7 linked regions of the Oryctolagus cuniculus genome follow. The protein of the gene in region 7 purifies or fractionates together with the protein of the main gene of each other region. This does not show direct contact. Links are inferred from orthologs where the notes say so. Each region holds a gene or a part of one and is shown on either strand. Other genes may lie near its edges. The genes, in order: STX18, STX8, VAMP3, STX16, SCFD1, BET1 and NAPA.

Evidence for each region.
Region 1: the proteins of NAPA (region 7) and STX18 purify together in Homo sapiens (affinity purification with mass spectrometry; 4 studies listed by BioGRID and IntAct, with this or other methods). This does not show direct contact. The link is inferred for Oryctolagus cuniculus from reciprocal best matches to the Homo sapiens genes NAPA and STX18.
Region 2: the proteins of NAPA (region 7) and STX8 purify together in Homo sapiens (affinity purification with mass spectrometry; 4 studies listed by BioGRID and IntAct, with this or other methods). This does not show direct contact. The link is inferred for Oryctolagus cuniculus from reciprocal best matches to the Homo sapiens genes NAPA and STX8.
Region 3: the proteins of NAPA (region 7) and VAMP3 purify together in Homo sapiens (affinity purification with mass spectrometry; 3 studies listed by BioGRID and IntAct, with this or other methods). This does not show direct contact. The link is inferred for Oryctolagus cuniculus from reciprocal best matches to the Homo sapiens genes NAPA and VAMP3.
Region 4: the proteins of NAPA (region 7) and STX16 purify together in Homo sapiens (affinity purification with mass spectrometry; 4 studies listed by BioGRID and IntAct, with this or other methods). This does not show direct contact. The link is inferred for Oryctolagus cuniculus from reciprocal best matches to the Homo sapiens genes NAPA and STX16.
Region 5: the proteins of NAPA (region 7) and SCFD1 purify together in Homo sapiens (affinity purification with mass spectrometry; 3 studies listed by BioGRID and IntAct, with this or other methods). This does not show direct contact. The link is inferred for Oryctolagus cuniculus from reciprocal best matches to the Homo sapiens genes NAPA and SCFD1.
Region 6: the proteins of NAPA (region 7) and BET1 purify together in Homo sapiens (affinity purification with mass spectrometry; 5 studies listed by BioGRID and IntAct, with this or other methods). This does not show direct contact. The link is inferred for Oryctolagus cuniculus from reciprocal best matches to the Homo sapiens genes NAPA and BET1.

Annotation. Positions count from the first base shown.
Region 1 is NC_091433.1:4,626,896-4,630,971, reverse strand, and holds the start of STX18 (syntaxin-18), read right to left. Parts: upstream 2,801-4,076; 5' UTR 2,339-2,800; coding exon 2,171-2,338; intron 1-2,170. UniProt on the Homo sapiens protein: Syntaxin that may be involved in targeting and fusion of Golgi-derived retrograde transport vesicles with the ER.
Region 2 is NC_091448.1:53,885,301-53,889,576, forward strand, and holds the start of STX8 (syntaxin-8), read right to left. Parts: upstream 2,801-4,276; 5' UTR 2,339-2,800; coding exon 2,322-2,338; intron 1-2,321. Other genes in the region: CFAP52 (cilia- and flagella-associated protein 52), read left to right, coding at 3,453-3,522. UniProt on the Homo sapiens protein: Vesicle trafficking protein that functions in the early secretory pathway, possibly by mediating retrograde transport from cis-Golgi membranes to the ER.
Region 3 is NC_091438.1:159,935,339-159,939,410, reverse strand, and holds the start of VAMP3 (vesicle-associated membrane protein 3), read left to right. Parts: upstream 1-1,272; 5' UTR 1,273-1,425; coding exon 1,426-1,427; intron 1,428-3,204; coding exon 3,205-3,283; intron 3,284-4,072. UniProt on the Homo sapiens protein: SNARE involved in vesicular transport from the late endosomes to the trans-Golgi network.
Region 4 is NC_091442.1:3,594,825-3,598,885, forward strand, and holds the start of STX16 (syntaxin-16), read right to left. Parts: upstream 2,801-4,061; 5' UTR 2,086-2,800; coding exon 1,954-2,085; intron 1-1,953. UniProt on the Homo sapiens protein: SNARE involved in vesicular transport from the late endosomes to the trans-Golgi network.
Region 5 is NC_091443.1:44,656,594-44,660,093, reverse strand, and holds part of SCFD1 (sec1 family domain-containing protein 1), read left to right. Parts: intron 1-17; coding exon 18-140; intron 141-1,343; coding exon 1,344-1,431; intron 1,432-3,383; coding exon 3,384-3,473; intron 3,474-3,500. UniProt on the Homo sapiens protein: Plays a role in SNARE-pin assembly and Golgi-to-ER retrograde transport via its interaction with COG4. Involved in vesicular transport between the endoplasmic reticulum and the Golgi.
Region 6 is NC_091447.1:41,915,647-41,919,686, reverse strand, and holds the start of BET1 (BET1 homolog), read right to left. Parts: upstream 2,801-4,040; 5' UTR 2,592-2,800; coding exon 2,573-2,591; intron 1-2,572. UniProt on the Homo sapiens protein: Required for vesicular transport from the ER to the Golgi complex. Functions as a SNARE involved in the docking process of ER-derived vesicles with the cis-Golgi membrane.
Region 7 is NC_091449.1:10,127,469-10,131,621, reverse strand, and holds the start of NAPA (alpha-soluble NSF attachment protein), read right to left. Parts: upstream 2,801-4,153; 5' UTR 2,603-2,800; coding exon 2,505-2,602; intron 1-2,504. UniProt on the Homo sapiens protein: Required for vesicular transport between the endoplasmic reticulum and the Golgi apparatus. Together with GNA12 promotes CDH5 localization to plasma membrane.

The sequences.
Region 1 (4,076 bases), on a different chromosome or scaffold from region 7:
CCCACGTGAGCACGAGTTTGAACTTCAGCTGTTCCACTTCCAATTCAGCTTACAACTGGGAAACAGCAGAAGGTGGCCCGAGTGCTTGGACTCCTGCCCCTGCCCCTGCCCCTGCCCTGAGTGGGAGACCCGAAAGAAGCTCCAGGCTCCTGGCTTCAGCCTTGCCCAGCCCCAGCCATTGTGGGAGTGGCCATTCGGGGAGCAAAGCAGCAGATGGAAGCTCGCTCTCGCACGCGCGCGCTCTCTCTCTCTCTCTGCCTTTTGAATGAATAAATCTTTAAAACAAAAACAAACTTTCAGGGACACACAAGCTAAGCGTCTGACAAATGGACAAAGTTCTCAAACACCTATGACAAGCGGTCACCTGTCCATTTTCTGCTACTGACAGGGAACTCGGCGCTCCACGGTCCTGCTACCACCCCTGAGGGGCATTAACACACAGCCTAGAGGGCATTCTCACCGCCCAAGGAGAGGCCCCGGGATCACTGGGTTCTCCACAGGGCCCGACGACCCAGCCACACTTCTTGCCTCTACCATCCCCAAACCCCTATGCCTGAGCAGGGCCCAAGCAAACTAGCTCAGTGTGAGTAAGAAATCAGTGATTTCAAACTTAGAGCCACCAAAAGTCCAAACTGCTATCCTGCCAGGGCCCCACGAGAGGAATCTGGGAGCCCTGGGAGGGGAGGACGTCCTACTTCCCTTTCTTCCCTTTCGACCTGAGACCGCACCTCCCTGCACCCTAATCAGCTATGTATCAGGGACCACTGTCATTCTGTGCAAGTCTTTTGTTGGGGGGGGGGGGCAGAGGAGACCATTGTCCCAGGAAGTAAAGGGAGGTAACAAACCCTGCTCACTAACCTCAGCTGGCTGACAGCGGCAGGGTTCAGAGGGCAGCTCTGTCCCCGGCTCCTTCCCGAGTGCCTGCTCAGTCACACGGCGGCTGACTGCCTAGAGGCCAGGTTCAAACTCCAGAGAGCGGTCACCATCGCCTAAGGCCCTTCAAGAGCCCTGCCCGCCACTGCAGCCCGGTGTCCACTGAACCAGCCAAGGGCACACCTCTGCAAACCGCTCTCAGCCAAGACGCCCTTCCCCACCTTCTCTGCTCGCCAACCCCTCTTCCCCGGAGACCTGCTGCAGGCGCGTCACCGCCCCGGAAGCCTCCGCAGGCGCACAGGTGGCAGTGAGCGCTCTCTGTGCTCCGCGGAACACCTGCAGGGCTAGCGCTGGGCCAGGCGCGCACGCCTCGCTCCTCTGCCGCTCCCTTCCCTTCCCACCGCTCTGTACAGCGCTGGTCGGGAGGCAGGCGCAACACAGACGTCTGCCGACCGCGTGCGTCCGTCCATCCGCTCCAATCCCCCTTCCGATGTTTGAAAAGCTGCTGCAAGCTGCCCCTCGCTAACAGATGCGCTACCCATGCATTTGAAAATACCTCGACCGCGAGGTGCTGGGTGTGAGCCAAGACAGGCGGTTCACCGCGACCTTAAGGAAAGTCTGCGTCAGGGACCCTCCCTTGCGCCCTCCAAACTCCTGACCCTCCGTTTTCTAACTTTATTTCTCCAAGAGGGTACATGGAACCGTATGAGCTTTGGGCGCCAAGCTTACAGAGTGAACCAGGCCAACACACCCTCGCCGCTTACGCCGGCAGCCATTCATCCAGCGAACCTTTACTGAGCCGAGCCCGTCGACAGACGGCTCCCGCTCTCAGGGAGACGCGTGGCTGCACGACGGAGCACGCAGAGGGTCGCGGCCACGCGTGGGAGCACACGCTGCTCGCCAGAGACGATCCTAACCGCGCTCCGCAGCCACCGAGCCCTGCCTCCCGCGACGGGCAGCACCGAGAGCGAGCGCCGCGGGACGCTCGCCACCCACCCACGAGGACGCTGCGGCCGCCAGCGAGGCCCCGTGGGAGGCTTCGCCCGCGTCCAGCTCTGAGTGACGGCGAACTCGTCACCTCCCGAAGCAACCCTGGAGCCCCGCGGACGGCGCCTCTAGGGCCACCCCCCCCCACCCCAGCAAAACAAGGCTGCTCCCTTCCCAAGACGGCTGTCGGCGCCCTGGGGCCACCCCTCCCTGCTCCCCGCTCGGGACCCCTTCCCGCTGACAGCGACTTGAGGTCTGGGGTCCCCCATCGCGGGTCCGCCCCCCGCCGTTTCCATAGCAACCAGCTCACCACTTCGCGGGCCCGGTTGGAGAAGTCACCCTTGGGCCGGGGGGTCCGGCGGAAGAGCTCGTCGCGGCTGCCCTCGACCCCGCCGCCGACTGCCACTCCCAGCGCCTTGTTCCGCGTCTTCACGGTCTTGACGCTGGCCCGGAATAGCAGCGTGATGTCCACCGCCATAGCGACCAGCAACAGCCACCGGCCCCTACACTCGGCCCGCTCCGCTCACGTCAGCAGCCGGCGACCGCGGCCGCTGGAGGACCGTTCCGGCGGCGCACGCCTCCGCCCGGCGACGACGACGCGAGAAGAAAGGTTCCGGCCTCCGCCTGTCGATCGCGAGGAGAGGAGAAAGGTTCCGGCCTGGGCCTGGGGGCGTGTGCGTCCCCGTGCCCACCACGAGCTCATCGGAGCCCCTTTAGCTCAGAGAACCCCGCTGAGCTCCAGTTACGCTGCGGGGTGTGGATCCCGGGAGCGAGATGAGGAAGCCGAAAGGCTCGGCGCCTTGTCCCGGCTCCTCCGCTGGTGGGGCGTGGGCGGTTCGGTGGCCGGACGCGGGGACGCGCCAGCCTTGACCTCGGGTCTTGAGCCGGACAGGCAGGGAGCCCTCGCCCCTCGCCCCTCGGCCCGGCCACCCGCTCCCCTGCGAGGCTCCTCCGCGCCTGCCTGGGGCTGGTGTGGGGTTAACCGAGACGACGCGTGGAGAGTGTTTTGACGTTGCTGGACCCAGAGAGGGGCCGTCCATGCAGTTGGTGGTGTTTTCCCATCACTCTTGCTATTTGTGGCGGGAGGAGCCTGGGAGCGGTGTCCCCCGAGCAGGTTTGAAATTTATCAGCTCAAAGAGGGACTCCTGCCGCGGGGTTCCGTTCACCCTTAATGTACGGTTTTTCAGCGTAGCGTCGGGTCAGCTTTTCCTGAAAGTCAGTGTATGAGGCTTTATTGGGTCATGGTTCAGTTTCAAGATCTCACTGGTTGGATCTTTTTTTTTTTTAAGGGTTATTTATTTATTTGAAAGTCAGAGTTATACAGAGAGAAGGAGAGGCAGAGAGAGAGAGAGGAGAGAGAAAGAGAGAGAGAGAGGTCTTCCATCCGCTGGTTCACTCCCCAAATGGCTGCAGTGGCTGGAGCTGAGCCGATCTGAAGCCAGGAGCTTCCTCCCGATCTCCCATGCAGGCGCAGGGGCCCAAGCACTTGGGCCATCTTCCACTGCTTTCCCAGGCCATAGCAGAGAGCGGGATTGGAAGTGGAGCAGCCGGGACTCGAACCTGCACCCATATGGGATGCTGGCACTGCAGGCAGCGGCTTTACCAGCTATGCCACAGCGCCAGCCCCAGATGGTTTTTTGTTGTTGTTTTTCCCCCTCAAATAGGAGGCACAAATGGAATGTGTATTGAAACAGCAGTTTCAATGGACAGCAAGATAAATTATTTTCATAATTCTAAGATGTTATTTCGTTTTCACTCTTGTTTTCTCATCAGTTGTATACGCAGGTATGACGAAAGTCCGTGGAAATGTGTATTATGAAAAAAGGTGTGCGTGCATTTCAAAAATTGTTAAAGATTTTATTTATTTATTTGCAAGGCAGAGTTACAGACAGTGAGAGGGAGAGACAGACAAGAAAGGTCTTCCATCCGCTGGTTCAATCCTAAAATAACTGTAATGGTGGGTGCTGGGCCAGGCTGAAGCCAGGAGCCTGGAACTCCATCCAGGTCTCCCACATGGGTGCAGGGGCCCAAGCGTTTGGGCCATCTTCCGCTGCTTTCCCAGGCCATAGCAGGGAGCTGGATCAGAAGAGAAGCAGCTGGGACTCAAACCGGTGCCCATATGGGATGCCAGCACTGCAGGCAAAGGTGTAGCCTTCTACAACACAGTGCCGGCCCCTCAAAGTTTTTTTGCACCAAAGTGAAATTACTGTTTCATC
Region 2 (4,276 bases), on a different chromosome or scaffold from region 7:
CAGGCCACAGCACAGAGCTGGATTGGAAGTACAGCAGTCAGGATTCGAACAGGCTCCCATAAAGGATGCCAGTGCTAAAGGGGGTAGCTTTACCTGCTACACCACAGCTCCAGCCCGGAGAGAAATGTATTTTTCTGCTATTTGTATGTAAACCCTGGGAGTCAGCCTCCCGGGGGGGGGGGGGGGATTCTGCAAGATAACATATACCAAGGGCCTTAAAAACAGATCTACAGTCCAAGAGTTCTGCTTCTAGGAAAACAGCCCAAGGAAACCAAGAATGGCACAAAGTACAGCAGTTCAGCCACCCCTGCCATGTTGGCACCCATACTGGAGGGCCAGTGTGATTCTACTTTACATCCAGCCTCCCCTAAGGGCAGGAGGTGATAACCCCAAGTGCTCAGGCCCTGCCACCCACGTGGGAGACCAGGATGAGGTGCTGGCTCCCGGCTTTTGCCTGGCCAAGCCCTGGCTGTTGTGGCTACTTGGGGGAGTGTACCAGCAGATGGAAGATCTCCCTGTCATCTCTCTGTCACTCTGCCTTTTTAAATAAATTAAAAAAATAAATAAGAGAGAGAGAGATGGAACAATGGGATAGCCTGCACAAAACTAAAAACAAAAACCTAATATTAAGAGAAAAATAATGGTTACTCATATCAGGCATTATTAGGGGCTGTAAGTCATGTGTTCAGAAAATCTTCAATAATATGGAGAAATGCCCCCTTTTATAAAACACTGTAGAGTTTAAAGAAATAAATTCACTGCAGGGGGCCGGCTCCATGGCAGAGTAAGTTAAGCCTCCACCCGTGGCACCAGCATCCCTTATGGGCGCCGGTTTGAGTCCCAGCTGCACCACTTCTGATCCAGCTCTCTGCTAATGGCCTGGGAAATCAGTGGAAGATGGTCCAGGTCTTTGGGCCCCTGCACCTGTATGAGAGACCTGGAAGAAGCTCCTGGCTCCTGGCTTCAGAGCAATGCAGCTTCGGCCTTTGTGGCCACTTGGGGAGTGAGCCAGTGGATGGAAGACCTTTCTCTCAGTCTCTCCCTCTCTCTGTAACTCTACCTCTCAAATAAATAAATCAAGCTTAAAAAAAATTCAGTGTAAAAATTTTTTAATAATGGCTGTTTCCAAATGCCAGTGTTAAAGATGTTATTTATTGTCTTTTCTGCAAATATTTGGTATTCTTTAAATGTATTAAGGTTGTATACAAATGTTACAATTAGATGGGACAAAAATTAGAGTGACATTAAGCAACTGGCCTGAACAACCTAGATGGCAGGTAAGCCTAACTTGGACCTTGGAATCCATTTTCCTTATATGCAGATGGCAATTTAAACAATCATAAACTCTACTAGAAACACAACCAAAGACATACACCGCTACGGACGAATATGCAGTTAGCTCAGGTCCCTTTAAGAGAGTACAAAACGCACGCAGACTTCTCCCCAAAAGCCACCCTGGCAAGACCAAAGCGCCAATCCCATCCTTGCGGAGGACAGAAGGAAGTTCCCTACCCCACCCTCTGACGGCTGGCTTCTTTGGTTTATCGGGAGCACACCAGACAGGATTGCAAACCCGGCCTTCAGATGGGTTTTGTCCCTGCCCTTTGATCGACTGTTCCCTGAATCGTGCATCCAAGACCCCACTTGCACCAGTTCCTCCGGTCTGCCTCTCCGGGAGGCTTCCGACTTGGATGCATCCCGCTGGGCTCACTGCCTGGTCCCCGTGGAAGTCTCGCTAAGGTGAGACAGAGCCACGGCAGTAAAAGTCCTTGGGCTCGGTCCCCCGGGGGCCAGCTCGCGTCCTGCGTGCTCCGAACTCAGGAGATGCCGCACCAACAAGTGCCTCCTTGCCCTCCCGGGGTCCCGAGAGTTCCCTGATGGGCGTCCGAGACCTTTGGGTGCTACTCCCGCCCGCCTCCCTTCTCCCCCGTCAGCGGTTCCTAACCGGAGCCCAGCTTTCCACACCCGGGATCTCGGAGGGCTCGCCACATGGATCGACATTGCACAAAAACGGGCACTCCCCGCCCACTGTCACAGCCGCCGGGGCAAGCCCGCGCGAGCCGGCTCCATCACCCAGAGCGCCGACCCTCAGCGCCCCCATCGGGGTCCTCCAGGTCTCCTTCCCCGCCAGCCTTGGAAAGGACCAAGGGTGGCAGAGGCGCCCCCAGCCAGGAAAAGGACCTGGCCGTCCCTCGTCTCACTCCCCCCACCGCCACCAAAGCCCTCCAAGCCCCGAGGCCCAGCGCCCGGCTGCCGCCCGGAAGCCTGGCTGCCCCGAACTTCGGCCGCCGCACTCCCACCCACCCTCGCGCGGGACGCACCAGGGGTCTGGGGCCATCGTGCAGTCTGCCAGCCGCCGCTCGGACACTTCCTGCTCGCCGCAGCTGACTACGGCGGCCCGTGTGGCTCAGTCCCCGCGGTGCTGTTCAGGACGCGAACGCAAACACCCAGGAGGACCTCCGGACGCTGCAGCAGGACTCGGGGAGGACAGAGCGCCCCTGGGCGCCGTGTGGGGTGGGGGTGGGGGGCGCGGCCGGCCTGCGGGGCGCCGGCACGGATGTGGCTGAACGGAAGGCTTCTCTCGGGACGGCGCGAGCATCTGCGGACGTCTGTCTGGCTGGTACTCGGGGAGGTTACTCCGTGTCTGGGGCGGAAGGCGGGCACGCGGTGGAGACGCAGTGAAACGCACCCGCGGCCCGCACCGCGGGGCCTGGGGCTCCAGCTCCCGCCCTGCCTGCTCCCAGCTTCGGGCTCAGCTTGGGTCCCTACCTGTCTCGTGGGAGACTCGGGCTGGGCTCCCGGCTTTGGCTTCCGTCTGGCCCAGCCCTGGCTGTTGTGGCCGCCTGGGGAGAGAACCGGGAGATGGGAGCTCTCTCTGTGTCTGCTTCTCTGTCTGCCTTTTACGGAAAAACGAAAATAAATAGAAAAAACTTTTGTTAGCTTTCAACAAGGCAAAAAGAACTGTGATGATAATTGCACACTGTATAAGTTTGTTAGACTGATTTATGATTCTAAGGGGGTTGATATGTAAGTATTCCAAAGCTGCTCTTAAAATCTTCAAGTTTTGTGATCCTGCTTCAAACAGCCCCGCCTCCATCAATTTTATATTATTTTATAGCGTCTACCGTCAGAAACGAACCTCCGTTTGTTAAATGCCATGGGGGAGGGGGAGTTGAGCATAGGTTCTTTGCAGAAGGGAAAAGGGAATTCATTCTGTGCATTTGGTGTCCCCCCTCCCCTGCCCCCTAAATTTGCAGAGAAATAGAGAAAAGAAGCCCCCTGTGCCTTGCAAGGGGGCGAACCAACTCCCCAGCTCCGCACACCTGGTGAGCGCACCGGCGTGGACCCGGCGCGCATGCGCGCGCTCGTTGCCATAACGACCAGGCGACGCCGCACCCGCTGGGGCTGAGACTGGAGGGAGCCGAGGGAGAGCTGAGACGTGTGTCCCGGAGATGGACGACCGAATGTCGCCCAAGGCCGACGTGGCCGAGCTGGAGCTGGCCGCCGTGATCGGCTTCAATGGTGAGCGTGCGGGGCTGCTGGTGCGGGAACCCCTGGTCCGTGTGACTGCAGCCTCTCCCGCCCAGGGCTCCCACAGCTCCTGGGGGGCTGGCGGGTGGGTCGGAGTGGCCGGCCCCCTAGGACAGCGCTTCCCAGCCCACGAAGCTGGACCCCTGCGTGACCGCCGGCCGCTGCGTGCGTAGCTCCGGGACCCACTATAACCAAGCGAACTTCCGAGCCCCGTGCTGCCGATGGGGGATCTGGGGACGCTACGTGTGTCCATGGTGAGGGTCTCAGAAGGAAGGGGTGGGGGCGAGCTGGAGCGGGATTAGAGCTTTATCAGAGATTGGCCTTGCCACTCTGCTGTGTCTGCCTTCTGCCTTGAAGGGGGAGAAAAAAGGGCTGAATATATATATATATATACATACATGCATATATATATTTTTTGCTTTTGTTTAGAGGGATGTGAAAAAGCAGTGGACTAAATTTTAGGAAAAGCAAATCCTTTTTACAAAGTGTTTGGTAATGCCTGAAAGCTTGAAACTTGTGATAATATAGATGCAGAAAAATCTGTATTTACAGTGTAAGCACATTCCAGGACTTAGCTCTCGATTCTCCACTGGAACAGGTTCAGAGGGGGAGTGGGCCCTCCACACATCCGAGAGGTGCTGGCTGTCGTTGGAGCTGGGTGCCAGGCCACAGAACAAAAACTCAGGGGTCTGCATTGGTTTGCAGAGGGCAAGCCATGCACGGGGCCCTGCAACTCCACAAACAC
Region 3 (4,072 bases), on a different chromosome or scaffold from region 7:
ACTTACACAGAATTGGGAGGGCTCTTACGGAGGGGATGGGAAGTAGGTTCCGACCTACCAGTCCAACTGTGAATCCTCGGTGAGGGACAAACGCACTTCCACTGAATCGAAGCTTTTCTGACCGCTTTCTCTTGGTTGTGAACCTTAATTTCGAATATAAGATGATAGGTAAGCGCAGCTTTCTTGGATAATCTGAATTCCCAAGTGCCAGGAGTAGGATTTCATTATAAAATTAATAGCTAATCTTATTCTGTCTCCTGAAGATTTAATTGCTATTCTCGTTACCCATTCGAAATCAGCTGTACTGTGTGAACGAAATAAAAGACAATAACACGAACCCCCTCTCTGGCTGCACGGTCGCTTCTGGCAGTTCCACACAGTAGTTGGCGCCCAACGGGGGGTCCCTGAGACTTGCATGTAAAACTAGTCTAGATGTCTTCTTTTTTGTAAGTTTTATTTTTGTAATTGTGCATGTAAAGCATCATTGAATCAATGGATCTGTTGAAGAACTCAGCTGCTGGAAACCATGCAAAATGTTTTGAATTGCCCTTAAAATATGGAAAATGTTTTCTGAATGCTTTATATTCTTTCTGCTGTAAATTAAAAATGAAGAAAATTTCCCCATACTATCCGTGTTTTGCTTTAACTTGACCCGTTCCCGGAATCCAAGGGGGTGAGCACGTGCCGGTTCCCAATGCCAACCCGTGATCCCGAACAGCGCTGGGCGGACGCCTTCCTGAGCGAGAGTCAGTCCTGCAGACGCCCAGCTTTGCAGTTGAAGTCCCAAGCCCTGGGCCAGTGTCCCGGCCAGCGGCCGTCCGCGCCGGCACCGTCCCACGCCCGTAGCGGCCCCCGCCGGCTCCTCGAGGCCCCCGGCCCCGCCGGCTGCCGCGTGCCCGGCGCGTGCCCAGCGCGGCCGGCCCGGCCCGACCCCCGACCCCAACCCGGGGCGCGCGCTCGCTCCTTCCTCACGTGACAGACGCGGCCAAGCCGGCACTGCGTTCCCCACTCCCACCTCACACTCCGCCTCGACCCGGGCGCCCCTCAGCGCGGCCGGCGGCGGGCGCTGACAGACACCGGTCACAAACGAAAACACCCGGAAGAACGTACAGAGCCCCGCCCTCGCCCAGACAGTCCCTGTCCCGTACCGCCTGCTCCCCCTGACCGCGTCCCCAGCGGCCAGGCCCCCCCACGCCGCCATTGCCAGTGGCCCGGGGCGGCCGCCACAGGCCCCGCCGACGGCGTTAGGACGCAGACGGCGCCTCGCGCTGGCCCCGCCCACGTGGGCGCCCACTTCCGGCGCGCCCGGCCGCGCCCGATGACGTCATTGCCGCCGCGCCACCCCACCCATCCCCGAGCCTAGGTCCTGGGCTGCGCAGCTCGGAGGACTCTCGCCCCGCCGTCCGCGCCTCCGCCGCTGCCAAAATGTGAGTGACGCGACGGGGCGCGGGGCGGCTTCGGGGCCCGCAGGCGGCGGCCCGCGGCGGGAGCCGTCGCACGGCCCGGTGGCTGCCTGCCGGTCGCCCCTCCGCCGCGGGCCGAGCCCGTGAGGGCGTTGAGTGCGTTCCGAGGCCTGCGGCGGGCAGCGCCCGCGGGAGTGCGGGCCGTGGCAGGGCCTAGCTGTCGCCGCGGCGCCGCCGGCCGTCCCCAGGGCCCTGCCGCCGGCGGGCTTCCGGGAGGAAGTGGCTGCGCCCAGCCCTGCAGCCCGGCCCTGCCCCGCGAGGTCCCCAAGAGCAGCGCCGGCGACCGCGGGGCCGGGAGCGGCGGCCTCGGGACACGGCAGCCTGGCCGGGGCCTTGCTGCTCCTGAGCGAATGCGTTCCTGGGGCTGCGGCCCTGGAGACCGCTGTTTCCAGATTCGGTTGTCCAGCATCGCAGGGCCCCGGCAGTCTCGCCTCCAGCCCCTCGTTGCAACCCCTGCGGGGAAAACCAGCCCAGCGCCCGAGGGGCGCGCCCGTGGGACGTCCCTGGGGAGGCCGCTGTGCTGGTCAGCAGAGCCCCGCGGACCCCCGGAGCCGGTGAATGCCCCCTGGAGTGACTGCTAAACCTCGTGTTGAGGGCATCGGCAGTGTCCCCCCCACCCCAAAGAGTTAGGATCCAAGGAGCCCGCGCGGGGCGTGGGCCCTCTGCGTGCTCTCGCGGACACTCCACGCAGAACAGCGTGGGATCTGCCTTATTCCCCGGCTGCTGACGCGCGGCAGGTTTTAAATAACTGATGTTGTGTGGCGAGGCAGGTGCTCCACGCATTATTATTATTATTATCATTTTTGGACAGGCAGAGTGGACAGTGAGAGAGAGACAGAGAGAAAGGTCTTCCTTTTCCGTTGGTTCACCCTCCAATGGCCGCCGCGGCCGGCGCGCTGCAGCCAGTGCACCGCGCTGATCCGAAGGCAGGAGCCAGGTGCTTCTCCTGGTCTCCCATGGGGTGCAGGGCCCAAGCACCCGTGCCATCCTCCACTGCCTTCCCGGGCCACAGCAGAGAGCTGGCCTGGAAGAGGGACAACCGGGACAGAACCCGGCGCCCCGACCGGGACTAGAACCCGGAGTGCCGGCGCCGCAGGCGGAGGATTAGCCTAGTGAGCCGCGGCGCCAGCACTCCAGGCATTCTTGAACACGGAGGAGAGAATTCTAGGACCCAGGAGCCCGTGGTTTGTCAGGAGAGAGGTGACTGGTGACTGTCCGGCGCCAGCCAAGCCCTAGGGGAGCTCCGGGCCGCAGTGGCCAAGAGAGGGAGACTTGGAGGATGAGTCGGTCGCTGAGAGGATGCGATGCTTCCTCGCCATTCTCGAACATTCCACGGCATCCCCCCCCCCCCCCCCCCGCCCGGTGTTCCTACGCTGTGTCTGTAAATGAGTCGCTATTAGGAGACACCGGAACTCTTATTCCTCTGAAAGCATTGTTGCCGCAGTGGAAGGGCCCGGGGAGTCCTGAGTGCCGAGAGCGGCCTGTGTGTGTGCCCGGCTGGGGGTCGCTGCTGTGTACCAGACTCTACCGAGCCTTCCTCCTGGACTCCGGTCCCTCGGATGTGGGCAAATTGGTAATCTTGGAGGAACTGTTCAGGTCTACAGGCAGGGTTCTCTTTCGCTTTGGTTGTGATGTGAGCGTTGTCCGCACTGGAGTCCTGGGGAATGGGATCGCATCCTAAAGCTGACAGTACTGTATTGGGATTCCTGACCGACTCATGCTGTGCCTTTCCGCGTTCCAGGTCCACGGGTGCACCTGCAGGTTCCAGCGCTGCTGCCGGCAGCAGAAGACTTCAGCAGACGCAGAACCAAGTGGATGAGGTATCGCTCGAAATGCTGGGAACGTAGATTTAAACAAACATGGCAGCGTGCCGAAGATAATTCTGTTTAGAAAAACTCTCGTAAAGGTGTGAATGGAACATCAGTGTTGAGTTATCATAAAGGTAGTGAATCTGCCCTAATCTAAGCCAAAGTCAGACTCTCCGGGAACCTATATAGAATCATGTACATAAAACAGTCTCCCTGAGGGCATGCCCCAAAAGTGTCTTATTAAAAAAAGTAACAGAACTTTAAGGATTAGGTCTAAGATTGCTCATGCCAGGACCAGTCCTTCTGATGGATATACATGTATTTTTAAATCAAAACGCTCTGTCCTTTAGCCTGACCTACACATTACCCAGTCTGAGCAAGTCTCTGTAGAATTCATCTGTGACAGTTGCCCATTGACACACAGAAGGCAGTCTCTGGCAAACTGCAGCTCAACACATCCGTATTTATAGAATTCTTTTTTTTAAAAAAAAGATTTATTTATTTATTTATTTGAAAGTCAGAGTTAATACACAGAGAAGACGAGGCAGAAAGGGAGACAGAAGCCAGGAGCTTCTTCCGGGTCTCCCACATGGGTGCAGAGGCCCAAGCACTTGGGCCATCTTCTGCTGCTTTCCCAGGCCACAGCGGAGAGCTGGATCGGAAGTGGAGCGGCTGGGATACAAACTGGTGCCCTTATGGGATGTTGGCACTGCAGATGGTGGCTTTACGCTTAGGCCACAGTGCCAGTTCCCTAGAATTCTTGAGCAATAGATGTTCACAGAATCTTTTTTTTTTTTTTTT
Region 4 (4,061 bases), on a different chromosome or scaffold from region 7:
CGGGCCGGGGCTGCCTGCACTTCCGCTGGCTGTCCTTGAATGTGTTTACTTCTGACACACTGGCCGGAGCGACACACTAACCCTCATCACTAAAGCCAATTTCAAGTTTTTTCCTCAAACAAGAAAAAGAAACGGGCCTTCATTTTTTGAATGGCAATGGCTGTAGGGCTGTTTTGTGCCGAGATGTTTGATGGACACACACGCCACTTTTCAGCCAATTCTTGCAGTGTTTTCCTCAAATAAGGATGTGAAATTTCAGAAATTTTCCAATTATTTTAGGTGTGATTTCTTTTTAGCTATGTCTAGCAAATACACGAAAATCAACTTTCTACAGCTTTTTCTTCTAATTGGAAATTTAAAATTTCAAGTTATGAGTTTTAAAATTAATTTAAATTCTCAAGTTTAGTTACTGCCTTGTTAATTACCTAAGTTAGCATGGATGTTTACAAATTGTGCTGTTTTACTTTACTGTGACAAAATATAAATTTTTATAATTTTCCAAACACACAGAAAAAGTACGTAAAATGATATAATGTCCTAGCGATAGTTGTCACTAGGCTTAAGAATTACTAGTATCTTGCTTCATTTGCTTCTTTCATTGGAGGGGGGCTAAGTACTTAAATAGGAAACAGATTTCTTGATACTACACCACCAAGCCCTTCAGTGCCATCGCTAGGAAGACCCACACGTGTAATCAACTGCGGTTGGTCTGACTGCTGCATTACCACCTAACGGCCGCTCTACATTCACACTCGAGGTGTGACTTCTGTGTGACCTGCCGCAGGATGAACCTCGGGAGTGCGGCGGGGCCTTCTGGGAGCCACTCAGCCAACGTTCCACAGCCGCGACGCGTGCACCTGCCGGCTCCGGGAGAGCGGAGCGGCCAGGCCCTGCCCTCTGCCCCAGTGCTCCGGCCTCTCGCGGTGATTTGGTGATTTTTCATCTTCCTGCAGCGGGTGCACAGGCAGAAGGGCTTCTGCAGGAAGCCGCCCGCAGGCTCCCCGGGCGCTCTGGGGTCTGGGGATGCGGTGCCTCGGCGCGCACCATTAAAATATTAAAACACGTAAATGCGCCCGCTAACTTAACTTCTAAAAACCAGGCACACTGACGCTGCGGGCGGCAGACAGTCTTTTGAAACCGGGTTATTCTCGGCGATCCGACGGCTCTGATCATCTAGGAAGGCTTGCAACACACTGAGGGGCACGGGGCGCGCCCCCAGCGGCGGGGCGGCCCACCCTCCAAGTCTTCAGGAACCCACGCGAGCTCGGGCCGTGCTCCCGATGCAGCGTTCCCGGCCGTGCACGCGGCTGCGCGGAGTCCGACCCGCTCTACTGGGTTGTGCAGACACGCAGTTTAAATATGCGCCCACGCAATCCCTTCCAACAAGCATCTGACTCGCGGCGCGGCCCGGGCGCACCGTCTACACCGCGCCTCGGCTCTGAACCCGCGGGCTCCGGGGCCTCGCCGAAGCCCACGGCGCGCGTTCCTCACGCGGCCTCCACGCCTCGGCCCGGGCTCGCGCGGGAGGTGCGGACGCAGCGCCGCGGCGGGCCTCCTTCCGACGTGCGGGGAGACACGCGAGGCCTCCGGCCGCGCACCGCGAGCCCTGGGGAGGGGGCGACCCGCACAAAGCCCGGCGGCGCCGAGGAACCGCGGGCCTTGAGGGCAGGGCCGTCTCCTCGCAGCCGCACGCCCACGCCCACGGCCTTCCCGAGGGGGAGCCCCGTCCGCGCCCCTCCCCACGCCCCGCGGGCCTCCCGCAGGCCCGGCCGTCGGGCGGGGGCGGGGCCCGGCCGTCGGCGGGGGCGGGGCCCGGCGAAGGCGACGCCCCCTGGCCGGGCCGGGGCCGCTCGCGACTGGTCGGCGCGGCTGACAGACAGAGAGACAGACAGAGACAGACAGGCGGGCGGGCGGGGCGCGGGGGCGCGCGGCGCGCGTGCCCGGGAGACTCACCGCAGCAATGCTACGTGAATGCAGAGGGCTGGAGGTGGTGTGACTACTCACTTGCTCGGCTAACAGCTGCCGGTTTTGGATGGAATTATTCCGCAACAACAAGAAAGCGTCGGTTAAACGCCTGGTGGCCATGGCTCACCCTGTGTGACCCCGCTCAGGGCCCCCCGCCCGCCTCCAGGCCCGGCCCAGCCGGCCCGCCCTCGCGCCAGCGGCCTCCCTGGGCCAGGCCGCAGGCCTCCAGCCGACGAGGCGCGAAGACCCCTCCCCAGATAACCGCCTAGGCTTGCCAATTGTCTGACTCCCCCTACCCAAGACCTGGCTTCGATCTCCAAGCACTTGAATCCCCCCAATCCTCGCCTGGCCAGCCGCCGTCCCTGAGACCCCCACCCCAATCCAACCCTGGATCTACAAGCGCATAACTCGCCAATCCGGCTCGGGACTGGCAGCACCTGAAGCCCCCTGCCTCCCTCGACTCCCTGAGACCCCGAGACCCCCAACGGCCTTTGACCCCCGGGCTGCCCCTGGCCGCGCGCTCCGGCGTCTAGGCCGCGCCCCGGGGCCGGGCCCTGCCTCGCTGCCCCCGCCAGAGGCCCGGCCTCGGCCCTCCTTGGCCAACCCCAGCCCTCGGCTACACAGCGCCTGCAGCTCCCTTCTCGGCCTGCGCTGAGCCTGCTGCGGCTCGGCGACCTCCTGACCCCTCTCCTTCCTGCGCGGCCTGCTCCCCCGCCGCGAGGAGGCCGCTGGCCTCCAGGAGGACAGCAGGGCCACCCTCCCCGGCCTCCTCACTCCTCTCCTCCAGCTCCCTCCATCCCCGGATCTGACTGCGAGCTCAGCCCCGGGCCGCTTCCGTGCCGTGGTCCCGGGCTCTGGCGTCCCCCCTGGCCCTCTTCCTGTCCGTCCCTCGCGAGTGCCCCCCTGCGACGCTCGCAAGCCTTGCTCGCAACGTTCCGGGCGCGGGAGCTCCCTGCCCACACCCGGGCGCGGGCGCGGGCGCGGGCGCGGGCGCGCTCCGCCCTCTCCCGGGGCATGGCCGGGGCACCCCGTTTTCCCGGCCCCCGCGGGGCTCAGGCACTGGGAGCGGGCCCGGGGGGCAGCGCTCAGCCCGGGGCGCGTGGCCCCCGAGCTGCAGGCCGCTGCCCAGGGCCGTGGCCCCGCAATGGCGAGTGCCAAGTTCCTGGGCAGGCGAACTTGGGCACCAGCAGAGCACAGCCGCGCGGCGCGGCGCGGGCGCGGGGGCGGGGGCGGCGGGAGGCGCCGGCCTCTGCAGGCCGAGCACGCTCGCTGCGGGCGGCGGCTCGCGCTCGCGCTGTTCTGTTGTGGAGGGCTTTTTTTTTTCAACTCTGAAAAAAAAAAAAAAAAAAAAAGATGTATCTGAAAAACAACCAGGAGAGGGGGGGAAAAAAAAAGGAAAAAATTGTGAAGCGGGAGCTCCGGGCGTCCAGGTCGCCCGGGCGGCGCCGCCAGCGGCAGGCGGGGGTCGCGGGGGTCGCCCGCGCTCCCCAGCCGCCGCTCTCCGCAGGGGCCACTGCGGGGCTGTGGACTCCCCAGGGGGAGAGTCACCCGAAAACTCTGTCACCCACCGCCCCGAACACCGCCGTGTGCGCTGAGCGGGCCCCGGCCCCGCGCCCCGCGCCCCGCGCCCTCGGCCCGGGGTCCCGCGTTCTGGGGCCCGCGGGGCTCCCGGGGCTGCGGGCTGGCGTCGCCAGGGGGGTCCACACCCGAGCCTCGCCGCGCCGGGTGCCCTCGTGCCCCGCGTGGACCGCGCCTGGCGCACACGTGTCCGTTCCCTGGGCTCACGCAGGGGGCGCCCCGGACCCCACCCACGTGCGTTTCCTCGGCAGGGGAAAGCGCCCCGCAGGCTCTCGAAGCAGAGCGAAAAGGGTTTCTGACTGCACAATGCGGGAACGAGGGAGCTGAGCGCGCCGGCGAGCCGGGCAGGGCGAGCTCCGAGCGCGGGAGCCGGCCACGTGCGCCCTGGCAGGACGCCGCCACCCGAGCAGCCGCGGCTGCGGGGCTGGGGGTTGCCGGGCACGGGGACAGCGTCCCCGGAGGCAGAGCAGGCAATTCGGGGAGCCCCGGGCGTGGCGCAAGCGCTGCGAGAAGTATGT
Region 5 (3,500 bases), on a different chromosome or scaffold from region 7:
ACTCATTCTATTTATAGGACCTTCGAAATCAGCTTTATGAATCATATTATTTAAATTTTATTTCTGCTATTTCAAGAAGTAAACTGGAAGATATTGCAAATGCAGCCTTAGCGGCTAGTGCAGTAACACAAGTAGCCAAGGTAAGGGATTGGATTGGTTGGTGCTATTTTGTTAATATAAAAGTTAGTGTTCCAAATCCTATTGACATGAATGTCTTGTTTACAAATGACCTGAACAAGCTAAGAAATGTTTAGACTCAACACTTTTGTAGAATGCTGATAATGTAAATTATCTGTAACTTAAACTAGCCAAAACTAAAGGGGCCTAGTGTTTATGAAGTAGAAAGATAAAAATTAAAAGCAGAATCAATTTTTGCTTTAGGCTGGGATTTTTATGATCTTTTCAGCTCATTTCAGAAATAGTTTGATGGTGTGTTGTCAAAAATTGTGTTCAAAGTATGTTGACATTATTTTATCTGTAATCACTATAGTGACCATCCTGTCTATAAATTTTTTCTTCCTTAGTAAAGAGGATCCAAAGAGGCTATGTTGCATATTGTAAGAAAAAAGGAATTCCTTGCAGGCTAGCAACTCCATATCATAGTGACTTTTCATTAGGTTCAGCTATAAATAAATTTTCAAAATGTAATCCTGGTATAGCTTTATAGTGCCTTTAGTTTCTTGAATTTGGACAAGACATACATGAAAATTCTATGGAACTATATGGAGCAAGTAACAGAGTAAATATGCATTTATTTTCCACCTTTTTCCCAGCTGACAGGTTTTCTATTCTTATATTTAGATGGTCCACTACTACTTCTGATTAATTCTTGAGGTGTATGCCTTAATGTTCTTGATCAAGACTTATTAATTTCACATAAAATAAAATAACAAATAATTTTTAGTTTAAGTCAATTTCAAATACTTTTCTTCATTTCCTCCTAATTTGCACTTGCAAAGAACTGATGTAACTTTCTTGTTATATTTATGAAGGTTGAGGTAATAACTTTTCATAGGAAAGTGTGATTTAAAAGTTGTAGTTTTTCTTCAAAATGCCTGTTCCCATCACAATCACAATTTAGATCCTTGTAGCTGCCTAAATTTCGTTTTCTGAAAATGTTATTCTTCATGGCATTTATTGCCCAAAAGCTTGTTTTCAGTTGTCTTTTTCATATGCCTATCCTTTTGTTTAATTACATAATCTGCTATGCAGTAGTTTTCTGTTACTGAATTTATAATTTTATTATAATATCTTCTGCTGTTACTAGATTATATCAAATAAAATTTCCTTTTGATGTGGCCATATTACAAAATAGATTTGTAAACCTTTTCTTTTGTTTCTAGGTTTTTGATCAGTATCTCAACTTTATTACTTTGGAAGATGATATGTTTGTATTATGTAATCAAAATAAGGAGCTTGTTTCATATCGTGGTATGTAAAAATAAGAATATTACAATTCGTTATTACCGAAATGAAGAAAAAAGTAGTGAATAGGATTGGCATACTTCAGAGCAACTTAGTTTACAATAGTAAAGCTGTAAAAGTTTTTAAAAAGCATTCAAAGAAAATGTGTGAATTTTCTCACAAATAAGCAACATTTAATAAACCTGTAAGCTGAAAAAGCACCAATTCTTTTTGTGTATTTTAAAGATTTATATGTTTATTTATTTGAAAGGCAGAGTTCCAGATGAAAGGAACGGACAGAAATCTGTAATCCGGTAATTCGCTTCCCAATTGGCTGTAAAAGCTGTGGCTGGGGCAGGCTGAAGCCAGGAGTTCCATCTGAGCTGGAATTCCATCTGAGTCTCCTACATGGGTGGCAGATACCAAGTGCTTGGGCCATGGGCCATCTTCTGTCTTCCCAGGTGAATTATCCGGGAGCTGGATGGGAAGCAGAGCAGTAAGGACTCAAACCAGCACTCGCTTGGGATGCAGGTGTTGCAGGCAGTAGGTTAACCCATTGCACCACAATGCCAGCCCCATCTAGTTCTCTTTTAGGTGTCCCCACAACAACATGTATGAAGGTCCACTCATGGCGTGTAAGACAGTATTTTATAGCAGGAGTAAGTTAATTGTCTAGTACTTTGACAGAATTGCAGAATTTTCTCAAATCTGTTGAATCCTTGGATAAAAGAGCCAAGAACCTTTAAAAGCTTCCCGAGAGACTACTTTTTCTTCTCCTGTATTTCCAGGGTGATTTTTACACCCACTTAAGTGTGGTAACTACTTTTTCACAGTCTTACATTAGAAAATAAATTCATGGGGCCAGTGCTGTGGCACAGTAGGTTGAGCCTGCCCTTGGAACAGCATCCCATATAGGAGTGCTGGTTGGAGTTCAGCTGCTTTGCTTCTGATCCAGCTCCCTGCTAATGGACCTGGGAAGGCAGCAGAATATGGCCCAAGTACTTGGGCCCCTGCTATTGTTTTGGGAGACCTAGATAGAGTTCTAGGCTACTGGCTTCAGTCTGACCTAGCACTGGGTATTGCTGACATTTGAAGAGTGAACCAGCAGGTAGATAGAAGATTTGTCTGTCTCTGTCTCTCACTCTCTCTCTCACTGTGCCTTTCAAATAAATAAATCGTTTTATTAAAAAACAAGCAGTCTTTACAAAAAAGAAATAAATTCATTAATCTTATAATGCAAAGAGAATGTTATGTGATAGTGGTTTTGCCATAATTAACTTACTTTGTCATTTTCTGGCCCTATAAACCCTTTTATAACAGCATCAGTAGTTTCTTGGAGGGTGGGCATTTACTCCATTAAGACTCCTGTGTCCTGTATCGGAGTACCTGGTTTTGATTCCTGGCTCTGGCTTCTAGTTCCAGGTTCCTGTTGTGGACTCTGGGGCCAGCAGGATGGCTCGAGTACTTGGGAGATAAGGATTGAGTTCCTAGTTCCCAGCTTCCAGCTTCAGTCCCAGCCATTGCTGGTATTTGGGGAGTGGACCAGGCAATAAAGGTGTCTGTCAACACCCCTTCCAGTCTCCCTCTCTGCCTCGCAAATGATGAGTGAACTTTTAAAAATTTTCTTGAGGCCATGTAATTTAGTGTTTTATGAATAAAATTATAGAATACAATATTTTCCCTTTTACAATAGCCAAGTTTTGCATGGCTGACTTTTCAATTTTTTTCAAATTACTACTCCCCTAGTATTGAAGTAGTTTGTTTGGCTGTGTTGTTTTGGTTTTGTTTTTTGTTTTTTGTTTTTTGAGGTAGTATAATTTTCAACAGGTACTTGTTCATTTAAAAAAATATTAAAGCAAAAATTTCACTGGGGTATTATAAATGTTATCAAACTGCATATTTGTTTAATAGTTTTAAGAGTTTAATAGAAATAAAACAAATTGTGGTCACTTTCTCTCCCCTTGCCTGTGTCATGTCAGCCATTAACAGGCCAGATATCACGGACACGGAGATGGAAACTGTGATGGACACTATTGTTGACAGCCTCTTCTGCTTTTTTGTTACACTGGGTAAGTTTTCCAGTCTTCCCGGTATTT
Region 6 (4,040 bases), on a different chromosome or scaffold from region 7:
GTTATGAATTTAAAGACTGGGCTCATTTTCCCCCCACTCAACAACTAAAATCATTGTCTTGAAAAATGCAACTTTATTAATGAATAGTCTGTGCAATCTATAATAATGATCAACATCCTTAAGGAAATGGAAACATCTTCTACTTATTTTATATGTTTAAGAGCCAAAGTATATAACATTGCCCAATAAGTAATTACTGACTGGTTGGATTCAATCACTTTGTAACTTCAAGAAATTCTAGAACTTCTTCAAGTTCTAAATGAATAGCTACTTACTATATGTCCTTTGTTTGGGTCTTTTCACATACATTAATTTTAGTTTTAGATTTCTTTTATATTGCTTCATTTATTCATTAAAAAAATTTTGAGAAGCAAAGAGACAGAGAGCTCCCTTAGGCCAGTCTGTGCCCCCAAATGAACAGCAGGGCTGAGCCAGGCGGAAGTCAAGAACTGGAGACTAGATCCAGGGCTCCCCCAAGGATGCCAGGGACCCAACTACTCAAGCAGTCACCTGCTACCTTCCCAGGGTTTGCGCTGGCAGGAAGCTGGAACTGGCGGCAGAGCCGGGACAAGAAACCAAGCATTTCAACAAAGTTGCCCCAACCAGTGGCTTAACTACTTAGGTCAAATACCTGTCCCTGTTCCATCTATTTAAAATGAAATTCTCATTTTATTTCTTGTCTGGAAATCTTTCAGTGCATATTTCTATTAGAGTTTTATCTTCTCTCAGCTATCACCCTCCCCCAGGGATGGACTCATGGTGTAGCAAATTAGGCCACTGCTTGCCATGCTGGGCATCCCTTATCAGATGCCTGTTCAAGTCCTGGCTACTCTGCTCCCAAAGCAGCTCCCTACTAATGTGGCTGGAAAGGCAGTGGGGGAGGAGCCAAACTGCCATCCATGTAGGAGACCCAGATGGAGTTCCTGACTCCTGGCTTTAGTTTAGCCCAGTTTTAGCTGTTGAGGCCATCTGGGGAGTAAACTAGCAAACAAAAGATCTGTCACCCTGCCTGTCAAATAAATAAATATTTGAAAAAAAAAAAAAAAAGCAAAAAACATCATCCACCAACACAAATATTCTTCACATGAATATCTATCAAATTCATTATTATTCCAAATCTAAAATTGCAGGTCATTTCACACTGGCACTTCAAGTTTTTTTAAAAAAAACCGTCACTTCATAACAATGTAAATTATAGCAACAGTTCCTTAATCGATGTGCTATCAGGACTGAGAACAATTACTTCTCAAGTCCCCTTCCTGCAACTTAACCAGGGAGAGTGCAGTGCAAAAAATAAGTGGGCCTCAAGGGCAATTTAGGAAATCTAAACTCCTTGGCCTATAATGCAATCTCCACAATGTGGTCTCATGTTTCTTGGTTCAATCAAATTGGTTGAGTCATAATTCCTTAGCTACATAATCCTAGTTCTATGCTCTTTGTTTTTTCTTTTCTTTTTTAGTGATCCTCTCACCTGAAACTCATCTTTCCTAACTTCATTATTCATGGTCTACTTCAAGGTCACCATCTCTGCAATTTCTGAGACATTATCTGCAGAACATTATCTTGTGTTTGGATGTATAGCTGCCACCTTGTACCATAATTTACCTTTGCACATTTTCCTACTTCCCAGCTGTGGGGAGCACCAAGAAAGTAACAAAACAACTATATAGCTAGAGCTCATTCAGGTATACAACCTAAAGACACTGAGAAAACACATAGGCTGGTGAAAACTAAACTTGATCAACATTCTTTTCTGTCTTCAATTTACCTGGCTTTCTCCAACCAGATTCACAAAAACTGCACTAAGAAAGAACACTGACACACTGACAACTTTCATTGACCTTAAAGTTGACACTTTTCGTAAGCCCTGTTTTCGTTTTTGCCAAGTTATTACCACGGCTGGCAGAGACAGTCATCTTTCGCCAATGCTCACATATATTCTCAATCACGCTGCACTGATAGAGCAGGGTTCTTTCTCGTCTTTCTCCTCCTCCTCCTCGTGTTTAACCATCTCCTAGTACAGAGCTTCAGAACCATAAGAGGTAGTCCCGACAGCTGCTAACCAGTGGAAGAGGTTCAGATAAGAAATGCTCCAGGCACACTGCCTTTGACCCCGACCTTACACCCCAAGGCCTGTAAGGTAACGACGTGTACATGTACCTTTGTCACTCACTGCTAGCCGACTCACATAATCACTGTGGAAGCGCTTAGCATGCAACCCCACTCTTCGTATCTCCCTTCTAAGAGGCAGAGGCAGCAGGAAAGCAGAAACAGCAGAGAGGCCAGGCCACCACACAGCACACAGTCCGACGACTGAGCTGGCACCTGCATATACCGCACCCCAGTCCTATGCTACTCTCCAAGACTCGGGTCCGGAGACCAAACCTAAGGATACCCCCGTAAGATCTAGGACAAATGACGTGCTTCCACTAGGCACCGCCTGCATGGCTCCCCTCCACACACGCCGTTTCTGGACCAGATGCCGAGTGACAGGACACCAGGGCGATTTTCTCCCGCGCCGACCAAGGCCGGCTCTGGGGCTCCCCACTTCGCACCTCGGACCTCTTCTTACCCAGGCCTGCACGCCTCATCCCGCCAGAAGAGGGAGGAAAAAGGCAGGCGGGGGTAGAGAAGTTAGGAAAGGGCCAGAGGTCACCCGGACCGCGTCTTCAGTCCCAGGGCGCCGCGAAGCACCAACTTCTTCACCCCAAGCGCCACGACATCACTGAAGCCTGGTACACCGCGCCGACTGATGGCGTCAACCCGGGCGCCCATTGGTGCTCCGCGAGGAGAGTTGAATGGCATTCTGGGAAAAGTAGTTCGCTGTTGTCGTAAAGGGCATGGCTGGAGGAGCGATGGGGACTCGCTTCCTGGAGTGGGCGGGACTTCCGGAAGAGGGGCGACATCCGCTTTGGCTTCCTGTTCCGGACCCTGAAACTCGCTGTTCGGTACCGTGACCCCGTATGCTAGGGCCGTGGGATTAGCTGCCTACAGGTCCCTACATTTAACACAATAGCTCAGCTTCTCCCGGCCCACGAGAGGTGGTTGACTTACCTTTCCTGATTCATACTGGTACTCACTGTTACCTGCAGAGTTAGTTCAGGGAAGTCTGAGAGAACTTCGTCCAAGTTTCTCGTCTTGCAAACAAGTAGTCCGAGACCCACTGGCGGGGCAGCAGAGGCTAACTGATTTGTGCTTGGTCACACTCAGGGGGGGAGACTCGTGCTGGGCTAAGGCAGCAGGGGTCTCTCGGAGCCCCCAGCGAGCCGGCTCCCTGCTGCTCCCTCGGCTCCCTTCTAGAAGCATCGTTGGGGTTAGGGAGCACGCCTGAATCCCTTAGACACGTGGTGCTGAATACTGCCTTACATATAGCAATGTGCCGACTGGGGTTTTTCAGTGCTTGGGGTAGGGTGTGGTGAGGAGTGTGTTGGTGCTGCTGCCTGGGTCAAGTGAGAATTTCGTGTTATCTCACAGGATGAGGTACCCTGAGGAGACTCTGCAGCAATGGTTTTTGAAGACATCTGGGACGCAGGAAATGCTCGGAGTCCGCTGGTGTTTGCGTTCTGATGTTGCTGATGTGTGACAAGGTAATGGTCTCCCGGCTAGAGGTCTCTGAATCTTCATCATGTCCTGTTTCCTCGGTTTCCCATTGTGACAGTGATGTAGCTGTGACTTCAGTTTCTGCCTTAAAGTTGCTTTCTTAAAACACAAAAATAAGTTTTTATAATTGTTAGGAAAAGAGTTGCAGATTGGTGCCTCCTCACACGGGGCACCATAAATGTTAGGAAAAGAGGTGCAGAATAGAGAGGAGGCAGTGAATGAATTTACAGCCAGACTGAATTTATTCAGAGAAAATAAATTAGAAGAGGTGAATGACCAACTGCCCTCCTGCACATTGATGGAACACGTGGCAGGAGGCCCTGACCCCCCGTCCTGGGGGTCCTGGCCTGTTTATATTTTAGGAGGGCTAGAGGCGGGGGTGGGATTAGGGAGCAGCAGGTGGAGGGGAATTCCCGGAACTGGTCTTTCAAGTGTTCCAG
Region 7 (4,153 bases):
CCCCGATGCGGGGTGCCAGCGTCGGGGCAGCGCAGGCCCCAAAGCTGCTTCCTTTCTCCCGTGGAAGACTGGGGGGGAGGGGCTAGAGGGCGGCAGCTCCCCGAGACCTGGTGTGCCGCGCCCTCCCCACTGCAGAGCTCTGGGGGCTCGGCCCTGGCCCTGGCCCTGGAGCAGCCGCTGCGGCACGGCAGGGCAGAGTGAGCGCCAGGCCGGGCAGCGCATGCTGCTCCAGCACCTACGGCGATGTCTCTAGGCCTCCGCTATCCACGGGGCTTTGGCGAGGACGGAAGCGCCAGGCCCGGCGTCAGGAAGCACGGGCGGCAGCGTCCCCAGTCGCTGCTCAGACCCAGCACTCTCCTCTCGGGCTCGGCTCAAGTCCAGGCCCTCGCTCGCTCGTGGCCTCACCTTGGCCCAGCCCCAACCCCCTGCACTAAACCTTCACAGGCCGCGCCTCACAGCTCCGCAGCACACGGCTCCCCCGATGGCCCATCACGCCCGAGGGAGACCACCCCTGGCCGTCCCTGTCACCAGGTGAGGCCTTTGCTCACAGCACTCATGCCAGGCGCCGTCCGCCCGAGTCCTGCAGGCTTTGAAGGACATCACCCAGCCCACCTTACAACCAACAACCCAGCCTCACTAGTCCACGCCAAGTGTCGCGCTCCCCATCCCAACCCAGCAGCCTGTCCCAGGCTGGCTTAGCTGCCCGCCCCCCCCCCGGTGCAGCCCAGCGGGGCCCTAACCCTGGGCCAAGGGCACCAGACACCACCAGCCACCCTCAGAACAGCGCACTTGAATTACACACACGCATGCGCACACACACGGTCTCCACTCAGTCTACAACAAAACCCATGAGGACCCGGACGTTTTCCTTTGCTGTTATCCCACCTCCAGCAGCAAGGGCAGGCTCAGTCTCCTGGAAAGACCCTCCCCCCCCCGCCTCCCAGACCCCCTTCCCCGGCTTGCAGCAAACCCCAGTCCCATTCCCCGTCCTAAGCTCGGCCTCAGCGGCTTCCCGCTGACCTCCACTACCCCTCCCCGGCCCCCGTGCCCTGACCTCTGCTACCCCTCCCTGGCCCTGACCCCCCAAGGTTCCAGCTGACCTCTGCTACCCCTCCCCGGCCCTGATCCCCCAAGGTTCCAGCTGACCTCCGCTACCCCTCCCCGGCCCTGACCCCCAAGCTTCCAACTGACCTCCGCTACCCCTCCCCGGCTCTGACCCCCCAAGCTTCCAGCTGACCTCCGCTACCCCTCCCCGGCCCTGACCCCCCAAGCTTCCAGCTGACCTCCGCTACCCCTCCTGGGCCCTGACCCCCCAAGGTTCCAGCTGACCTCCGCTACCCCTCCCCGGCCCCGTGCCCTGACCCCCCAAGCTTCCCGCTGACCTCCGCCACCCCTCCCCAGCCCCGTGCCCTGACCCCCCAAGCTTCCCGCTGACCTCCGCTACCCCTCCCCGGCTCTGACCCCCCAAGCTTCCAGCTGACCTCCGCTACCCCTCCCCGGCCCCGTGCCCTGACCCCCCAAGCTTCCCACTGACCTCCGCTACCCCTCCCCGTGCCCTGACCCCCCAAGCTTCCCGCTGACCTCTGCCACCCCTCCCCGGCCCCGTGCCCTGACCCCCCCAAGTTTCCCGCTGACCTCCGCCACCCCTCCCCGGCCCCGTGCCCTGACCCCCCAAGCTTCCCGCTGACCTCCGCTACCCCTCCCCGGCCCGTGCCCTGACCCCGCTAAGCCCCGCGGTCCGCAGGCCTTCCCTGCCCCTTTCGGCTCCTGAGCCGCTCCCCGGCTCCCGCCTGGCTCTCTACCAGCCCCCATCACCGCACACCTCTTTCCTTGCAGGGCACTCCCAACACTGCCAGCCACCACTTCGGAGCGCTCGCCATCCGCCAGCCCAACGCCGCCCGGCTATCGACGGGGAGGAGACAGCTCTCACTGGCTACCCCTTCGTCGGGGAGATTAAAACTCACCCAGGTCGCGGGCTGAGCGGCAGCCGCACCCCAAAGCCCCTCAGTGCGGCCGGCCCTGAGCTGCCGCCAACTTCCGTGGGCGCCTGCCGCATGGCAGCCGCTAGTCCTGTCCCCAAGCCCTCAGGCCCTGTGCGAGCCCTGTCCTTACCGAAGGGCTACGCAGCAGCCCCCTGCCTGGGCTCGGGAAGGTCAGCCCCTTGGGCAGGTGGCCCCAGCCCCAGGCCCCGGCGCGACCCCTCAAACAGATCCCCCGAGGGCTTGAGAAGGCTTTGGAACCTGGCCCCCGCGGCTGGTCCCCGCCAAGGCCACTGCCCGTATCCCCTTCGCCCAGGTCTCCGCTGGCCTCTGAGCCCGTCTTCAGCCTGGATCCCCTTCCCCGCCTCAAGAGGTGGTCGCCCGGGCCCGTGGGTCCCCAGCCCAAGCCCCTTCGGCCCTCTCCCTGGAAACCGGCCCCCGCACCGCGCCTCCCCCGCCACCCCAGGCCGTGACCCCTGCGGCCCCCAGCCCAGGTCCCGGCCGACCTTTCGGCCTGGTTCCTACCCGAACAGGCCTGAGAAGAAGGACTGCGAGTTCTTCACTTTGCGCTCCGCCTCGGCGAGCAGCGCCATCGCCTCCGCTTCCTTCCCCGAGTTATCCATGGCGGCCGCAGAGCGAACTCAGCGAACCGCCCGACCCGGGCCCTGGGAGGACTCAGGCCCGGCCGGGCCGCGGTACACAGGTCCCGGGAGCTTAGCTGGCTGCGTTGACGTCGCACCGGCGCGCGCCGCCCGAGGCCGGGCACCAGGTGACTGGCACTGGCCAATCAGGGACCTCGTAGCGCGGCGCGCTCCCCGCTGGCCACGCCCCGGCAGGCCGCCGCGCACCGCCCCGTGACTCTCGACGCATGCGTAGCCACCTGTTTTGCGCCTCTCTTCCGGATGCTCCGCACCCACCACCTCGTGACGCCGCACTAGCCAATCGTAGCCCTCACCGTCAGGGACCCACCCCCAAAGTGCTGCCGCAGTATTTGCCTTTCCACCAATCAGCAGCCGCTCTCTGCTCGGGTCCGCCCCACCTTGCGGAAGTTGGGCACGGGTCAGCTGGAGCGGCGGCTGTCACGTGACAACTTCCGGCGCACGCCTGGGTTTGACAGTTCTCTTGCTCGGTGTTTTAGTCCCGCCTCTAAGCCTTGTCTCGCGTGGTTCCTTTCACTCGAAAAGGCCTCAGTGGGAAAAAAGGGGAGCGTTCTGCTTTCTCTTGCGCCCTCTGCCGGCCGATGCTGAAACTGGCGCGGGAGGCCCGTGCAGTGCTTGACAGATGGGAGCGCCTGCAGCCGCGCGTGCGAGATTCAGGCGAGAGGGGGACGCAGGGACGGGGCAGAGAACGAGAGGCGTCGCCCCCGGAGCTTGTTTCCCAGGGGCCGGACTCGCCAGTCTGAGCCGCGGGGCCGCGCAGAGCGTGGGGCGCTGCTGGCGCCGCGGGGGGCCCCTCTCGCCGTGGGCCCTCCGTCCTGGCGGCTTCCCCGGCCAGCCGTCCGGCAGGGAGCTCGACCTGGCCGCTGGCCGCAAGTCAAGCTGTCTGCCTGCCGGCGGTTCCAGCATTGCCTGGTGTCTTGATCTTGATTTTTAGTACTGCTCCCCTTCCCTAGTAAGAGCCGAGGGGGCCACGGCTGCTCAGTGCAGGGTGGCGTCGGATTGACCTCAAGAAGTCAGGGCACAGACGCTGGCCGGCCACACGGTGCCCAGATCGGCTTGTTCACTGCATCAGAGGTACCAGCCTAATGGCAAGCGTGGGGAAGCTGTGGGGTCTGGAGTTTTGGGAACCTATTCTGAAAAGCTGCTTTACAGAGTCAGGTTGCAGGGCCCGCCCTGTCGCGATCCCCATTCTGAGCCTGCGAGGCACAGGAGTCCATTTCTTTCCAGAGCCCCGCCCAGCATGGGACCGGCGTGTGCACGCGCAGTGCTGTGCGGGGCTGGGGTTGACTGACCAGGGCACGGCAGGCCGACCTCTCGCCCAGCTCTCTTCCAGGAAGCGCTTTCCCGAGCCGCTGCTTGTGGCGGCCGCTGTGTGCGGACCACAGCCTCGGCGGACGTCTGTCTGGATCGCCACAGGCAATTTCGGTCCCGTGCCTGTCCAAGCAGCACCGGTACCAAGCTGTCATGTGTTTTAGGCTGTCGGATGTAAAGCAATAGGCAACCAGTGCACCTGGA